2 linked regions of the Kluyveromyces lactis genome follow. The protein of the gene in region 1 purifies or fractionates together with the protein of each later gene. This does not show direct contact. Links are inferred from orthologs where the notes say so. Each region holds a gene or a part of one and is shown in the gene's direction. Other genes may lie near its edges.

Region 1 (3,918 bases):
CAGAATGATGCTTTGGAAACCGGACACGGTCTGTATAATTTGCACGTCTTTATGCAAGGATTTTTTTGGGACTGAACAGCCTAAGGATATAATGACAAGCGAATAACACACGAAGGTTAACAGAAGGCCCCAAAGGGTTCCCTTAGGTATGGATTTGGAAGGCTTACGCAATTCACTGGACATACCGGCGCCAGCAAATATTCCTGCCGTAGCTGGAAAAAAAATCCCGAATAGATCATTGAACGTTTCGTAACCCTTCAACACCGAGCCTGCTGCACCCTTTGTAAACTTCGGATATAGATTTTGTTTGAGTATCTGTAAAGACGGTCCTGTGTACACGATTCCATTAAGTTCGAAAGGCTTCACAAATAAAACAGAGATAGGAATCGAGATTGTAGAAGCCAATAGCAACCAGAATAGAACGTTACCAGCACGCGAGACAGTCTGTGAACCAATCATAGCCACCGCCAGACATAACAGAAGCAAAACCGTAGAGTATCCAAATTGGTACCAATGCCCTTCTGGAAGTACTTGAGTTAGCACACCTTCCGAGATACCAAAATTGTATAACAACGGTTCCACGATACCAACTATGTTCATACCACTATTCAAAATTTGGCCAATGAAAAAGATAAGACCAATAGAACCTCCAAATTCAGGACCTAGGCATCGTGAAATCATGTAATATGCACCACCACCTCTCACTGTACCGTTGGTCGATATAGCTGAAATGCTCAATGTGGTTGATACATCAATGATAAAAGATAAGATTAACAATAGAAATGTTCCCAAAATACCCATCTGTCCTATTATGAAACCAAATCTCAAGAACATTAAAATTGAGAGCACATTTAACGTAGTGGGTATAAATACTCCATCGAATGTTCCCAATTTATTTCTATGGGGATTCTCTAGATCATATTTTGAAGATTGTTCTTGTTGTAACGGTGTGTCTTGATATTTGAAATACGTTAAACTCGACCTTCTCTTAAGCAACGGTGAGCGCTCTGATTGTGACGGAAGGTGCGAACCCGGTAGTTCATAGAACTTAGACATCAGTGTGGTGACAGTGCACTACTGTCGTTACCTTTGCCATTGAAAACACTGCTAATCTGAATATTTTTATCGCTTCGTTATTTATCTTTGCTTGATTTGACGAATTCCTTTAAGGGTCTATCATTTTTGAAAGATTTTTGAAATTTCACCATAGAGCAAGAAGAGATTTGAAATGCAGAGAGATTGATGGATATGGTTCGATCATGTTTGAAGCATTCAGGCATGCTCAGAACTACCATCTAACAGGTGAAAATCAACGAAAACGATGACTACAAGATACCAGAGGGTTTTGGAGATAAATGCCAAAGAGAAAATATCTCTGGCGATCGTTAAGTTCCCTCCTTTTAAGCTACGTGCGGCGATGGTTGAGAAAGATCCGGTGATATGGCTCCATTTGCTGGAAGTTTATGTGCAACATATGAGTTATTTATTACATGGTGACAACTTAGACTTTCTCAGTGATGAGACCATTGATCATCTATGCATTTTCGTTAAGGCTTATGTGCATGAAATGAGTGAAGAAGAAGGAAAACTTCTTTCTTTGGGAATTAATGCAGATGTTTTGAAGCAATTAGAGCTTTTAAGAGCTTACGTTTTACAGTTGATTAAAAGCTGTGGGCTACTATACTTGAAGTTGAATACAGAGTCTCTATGGGACATAACACGGTCCTACGTCGAGGGAAATGCAACCACTGTCAGATCGTTGATCGAAGGATCTTTAAGACCGACCATTAATACTCAGAAAGCACAATTGGATAGGACGTACCAGATACAGCAACATATAAGATATTTGATAGAAGCCAATAAATTTAGTAGAGTGGATTTAAAGTCTCTGGAATTGCTTTTAGCTGCTGATGATAAGGCGAAGAGTTCATTTACAGATAATTTTGTGTCTGCCAAGTGGGTTGATACATTAGAGTCAATGTATGGCAAGGAACCAGGGAGTTATTTATCAGATTGGGGAAAGAAACTTGGAATATTAAGCTTTTTGTCCTGCAGCGTCACACATTTGGCTGATTTGTTAAAGCAAATGAGCATAACGAACTTACGAACACTTTCAATGTATCCACTTTTAGGGTCACTTCTAATTGATGCCAGGTTTCAGGAAAAGTTGCCACATATTAAAACTAAAATCCCCTTTTTGGATATACAAGAGGAACCGAAGGCAGCTCCCCATTTAAGCGGTCTGCTAATGCCTAGTGTCAATGTTGAACAAATAGACACAATCAAGGAACTATTTCCGGACCTTACTTCTAACCAGATAACAAAATTATTGCAGAGGTATGATAATAACACGGAAGTTATAATCAATAACTTGTTTGAAAATCCATCTGTGATATCTTCACTCGAAGATGGGCCACTGCAGGATGACGAAATACAGAATACGACCGAAAACCTGATGGAGGAACATAAGCCGAAGGAGAATTTATTGCCAGCCATCACTCCGAAGGACAAAATTGAAAAGAAAAACATGTTATTCCCTACAAACGACGTACCTGATGCTGTCAGAAACAAAACATTATCAAGAGCTTTATCCCTTCTATATGATGCCACAGAAGATGAAAGGGATGACACCTACGACGATGCAGAAGTTAAGCAAGCTTCTGCAGATCGTGTAAGCGTCGATACTTCTGACACAGCAAAGGTATCAACCATAACACCAGGCACATCTAAGTACGATAAAATTGAAGGATATCTATGGGAATTATTGAAAAGGGATAAAAATCTTTTCTCCCGTCAGCAACGGGGCTCGAAACAGCGGAAAGAAATGAAGAAAGAGACTAACTGGTCTGACGAACAAATTGAAGGTTGGTCAAGAATGATTGAGAAGAGTCCAAAGAGGGCACAACTGCTAGAAGAAAAGTATATTTTCAAAGGGAACGTTCGGCAAGGCAAGAAGACGTTTACAAAAGCACGAGAGGATAAAGAAGGTTTTGATCATCATGTAGTTGACAGCACCGTAAATTCACCTAACACTAACAGTAATAATGATTCTGGCAGAGAGAAAACACCTACTACCAAAGAACCTCTTACCAAAGAACAACAAAAGAGAAAAAATGCTCGTAACGAGAAACTAAAATCAAGTCGTGCTAATCATAATAGAAAAGCGGGACACGATAAAAAGTTAGCTAAAAGTGGTGTTTTATGATGAACATTAGACCAGTATAGATACATTTACGAAAATTGAAGTCGATTATCCTGTATCTTCCTATTTATCTGTAGATATTATGAAATGCATTTACTTTAAATATCATTCTTCGAAACTTTCCTTTTCTTGGATTCTAATTTATTCCAAAGATCCTCATTTTCAGCATCTTCATCAGCTTCGACGATGCTTCTTTTGGCTTCCTTCTTCTTCTTCATTTTCAATTGCTTTTCAGTTAAAGGTAATTCCAAGTCATTGTCTTCTAAGAGTATAATATCAGAAACCTTACCGCCTGTGAATATCTTTGCCAGGAGCTTATAATCGGCTAAATCAAAGATACGAACATACCTGTCCAAACCACCTTGAAGTAAGTATTTATCGGTAACAGCAATGCAAGATGCAAAACCAGTAATGTCGCCCTTGGCAATCTTTCTCAACAAGCGTCCCTTGCCGTTGAATTGGTACACATCTTTTCTGGAGTCTGCTGCTAAGAATTCAAGCTCGTCAAAGTTAGAACTTTGAAAGTTACCCAGTGGGGATGTGTCGCCTATAATTTTGCAAGAATTCAATTGCTCACCTTTGGGTAGAAGAGTAATAGATTTCACAGGTCTACAATCTTCAGCGTTGGTGGAATACTTTCTTAATTGAGCATATTTCGTAATTGTAATGAAATTATAAACCCCGTTCTTTTCTGATTCTAAGAATCTCAAAGCAAC
Region 2 (3,690 bases), about 310 kb from region 1:
TGGCCTAGTATAAGTTTTGTAAATAGTTCAAATAAACCGAAATACACGCATCGCATGCTCATCGTATCATGTTCAGCACAATATCATCAGTGGTTGATGAAGCTGATTTATGTCTACAACTAATTAATACAAAAATTCTCTAGAAGATGGGAAAACTGTTCCATCATGAAGAAGGGCACAACGGAGAGTGAAAATCCAAACTCTCAGGCAGCCATTACGCAAAGCCCTCTGGATCACATGCAACACCTGGAAGAACAACTAGAGCGAGCTGTTAAACCGCTTCTAATCATCACTTTCCAGACCTCTTCATAATGGTTAAAAGAAAGAAGTGATGCAAAAAACCGGGAAAAGGAAGAGACTTCCCCTCCCAACTCAATGCGCTTCCAACTTTATTGATCTAAGAAACCGGAAACGAAATGGAAACTGTGGCCAGCTTGTTTGGGGCTAGTCAGGATCCATTCAGCTATGGGTTAAAAAATGGTAACAGTCACTCTTCTCCAGTATTAACTAAAGCCGTTCCTAGATCTCCGAAGAAACCTAGGAAAAACTTCTTGAGAAAAGAGATAACCGAAACCGTAGGTTTCTATGGTGTATATGTGTATTAATATTATCTTGAGATAGTACTAACCACTACTGATGATTGGTTTATTAAGAACAAACATCAAAAAGATTTTCCAATCTTTGAACTGTAAGAGTGTTTGAAAGAGGTTCAAAGTGTTGAAAAATTTGCCACTTTTATACTATTGATCGGAAAGATTACCCGGACATACGTCTCTACTATTATAATTGATTTAGGGTTTTACCAGGTAAGATATCGTTGACCAGACAAGCATGTTGCAGATATTTGGGGCCCTTCATGGTGTATATTGCCTAGTCGAGAATCAGTTTATATGAAATGTAAATCTGTTCATCCAAGTGGGATCTTTTGAGTCGAACTTATAAGCAATATACTGCTCATCTTGCCCATGCAGCTCGTCCTACTCACTGCACTGCTTAATAAGTGTCAATATCCAGGAACTTCGGTTACTTAGAGTAGTACCCAGCTTCTGGGCTGTGGCACCAGCAGTAACTATACCGTTTAGATTTATATATAGTTATAGAAAGGTTCGGGTATTAATGTCTGTCAGTCCAAGATAATGTGACGTTAACAACCATTTGACAGTAAAGCTTCCGAAGCTGCTACTTTCGATCCAAGTTCTCGAGTCTATGATTCTTCATGAGATCACCTGGACAGCCACCCAATTGTTACAATAGACCTCTTGTTGGCTGATCGGTTCCACCTTTTCTTTCATAACTTGAGAACTCTCATCTTTTAAAGTGAAAAAGTCTAATATTGAGAGATGAGCCTTAGCAACTGAGAAAGTAACTACTCGTATCCAAACAACACAGTAAAAGGATATACATAGCACTGGAATAATATTGCCAAAACAGTCACAATGACGAAAGAGGATGCTATTGAGTATGCTATAAAGGAATTGCCCAACATTTTGCCACTAGATACAGAACAGATCAAAGATCTATGTGAACAGACGATAAAAGAAGGCAACAACCCTGAACAGATAGCCCAATCCTTTTTTGATCTTTTAGGGCAAGACGACTCATCGGTACATTTCATATTTGAGTTCAATGAGAGGCTCATGGAATTGCCCCGTAAAACGGCTGTCAAGAAACCAATAGTGAACGAAACAACCAATACTAAAAAAGTGATATCTCCATTGATTAATACTGTGAAAACCAATGATTCCAGGGCCGAGTTCGCCAACAAGTCTATTCAAGCAACGAAACCGATATTGAATAGAGAATTAAAAAAGGTACCGACTGCCAAGGCTGTGAAAAAGGATTCGGGGAAAGAGAGTAAAGAAGTCAGATTAGATTCATTGAAGGATATCGATGATGTGTTAAAGATGTTGGAGATGAGGTCAGTCTCTGGGGATTCCGGTCAATATAAATGCAATTGCCAGGGAACAAGGCACCCAATATTCGATCCTGCACCAAACTGTCTGTCATGTGGCAAAATAATATGTGTCAAAGAAGGTTTGCATATGAACAATTGCAGCTTTTGCGGAGCTGAATTAATCCCAGCTAAGGAACGCGAACAAATCTTAGAATTGCTACGGTTAGAGAGAGAACAAATAGAGCTTCAGAAAGTTGAAGAGAACAAGCCCAAGCCGAAGCAAACCAAGAAATATAAGATTAAATCTGGTGCAGGCACAAATTTATGGCAAGAACAAGAGAAAATGCTACAAAGAGTGGAGAAAGATCGGGAACAAGAGAGAGAGATTAAACGACAACAAATATTGAATGGGGAGTCAAAGGAAGAAGAGGAGGATGAACAACTTATTGAAGCACGAAATCGACTCGACAAGCTACTTCATTTCCAGGATACCAGTGCTGAAAGAACCAAGATCATTGACAATGCTAGTGATTTCGCTATGAATGAAGATGTCATGTGGGGTTCTGCTTACGAAAGAGCATTACAACTAAAGAAACAGCAAAGAAATTTACGAAAATGGGAAAAGATTGAGAATGAACGCAATGGAAGGCGTGAAAAGGTCGTCTTGGACTTGACGATCGGTAAGGATGGTAAAGTTGTTATGACAGAAGCAGTTAGAAAGAGCAGCAAAAAAACGAATGCAACTAGTGATGATGAAATAGATGATATTAGCGATGAAGAAGATCTCCAAGACTTGGAAGATATCAAGAATTTGAAGTTAGAGATAAATCAACAAAAACAGAAGGAGAGTTCCAAGTTAACAAACAATGTTTGGGATTATAACAAGGCGCAGTCGGAGTTTAAGAAACCTGTATACATAGCAAACGCTGAGGAAGAAAAAGAATCTGCTCCTAAAAAGGTATCAAATGAAGTTCATCGTGTCCAAGTAGGTATTGATGATAGACCATCACTTCAAGATAGCATTTTGGCAATTTTGTGAAATTTGTCTGCCCGGACCGCCGATGTTTCCATAATCAATAAATAAATGTGTTGGAAAATTTATATATAGTTACATATCGAGCAAGCGTTACGGTTGGAACAATTCGACTATCATTCAATATCGAAAATTGGTAAGAACTGGCCCATTATTAACATTGGAATATTAAATGCATCTCTTTTAACTGTCCAAATACATGCACACCGTAGATAGCATCCATTCTTTAACAAAAGGTTACATTCGCTAAAAATAGCCTGACCATCAGAAGTTCCGGTCGATGAATTGAAGGGCCCACTTTGAGTTGAACCAAATGCCAAATACTCATGGAATATATCATAGTAATCTACTATGCTTTCATTGTCCATGAATTCCATGATAAACTTTCGTTTGTTTAAAATCTCCTTTTTGTTGAACCCGGTAAGGGATATAAATTCATTAGAAGCAAAGCATATCTCCCCTGACCTTCTCCATATACACATTGGGGTACAATTTACAAGTTTGGCCATGCTTTCATACTCTAACAATGCCCTTTGGAGAATAATTTCTTGTAATTTTAAATCTTGAGCAATTAAACTATTAGTTAGTGTAACGAATATTGGTGCATAATGTGTTTTAATAGAGTGGGCTATATTTTGCAATTGCTCGGGGCCATCCCTCTGAGATTTACCCGAGGAAGGTTTATCTGAATTAATGAATCTCCATCTCAAAAATCTTAACAGTTCCAGATAAGCTGACTTATAATTATGCGGTTGAATTAAAG

Evidence for each region.
Region 2: the proteins of CUE3 (region 1) and RQT4 purify together in Saccharomyces cerevisiae (affinity purification with mass spectrometry; 4 studies listed by BioGRID, with this or other methods). This does not show direct contact. The link is inferred for Kluyveromyces lactis from reciprocal best matches to the Saccharomyces cerevisiae genes CUE3 and RQT4.

The regions. Positions count from the first base shown.
Region 1 is NC_006042.1:973,398-977,315, forward strand, and holds CUE3 (Cue3p), read left to right. Parts: upstream 1-1,321; coding exon 1,322-3,205; downstream 3,206-3,918. Other genes in the region: VHC1 (Vhc1p), read right to left, coding at 1-1,056; ribosome biosynthesis protein NSA1, read right to left, coding at 3,301-3,918. UniProt on the Saccharomyces cerevisiae protein: Involved in activation of the ribosome quality control (RQC) pathway, a pathway that degrades nascent peptide chains during problematic translation.
Region 2 is NC_006042.1:1,284,715-1,288,404, forward strand, and holds RQT4 (Rqt4p), read left to right. Parts: upstream 1-1,436; coding exon 1,437-2,933; downstream 2,934-3,690. Other genes in the region: GSM1 (Gsm1p), read right to left, coding at 3,044-3,690.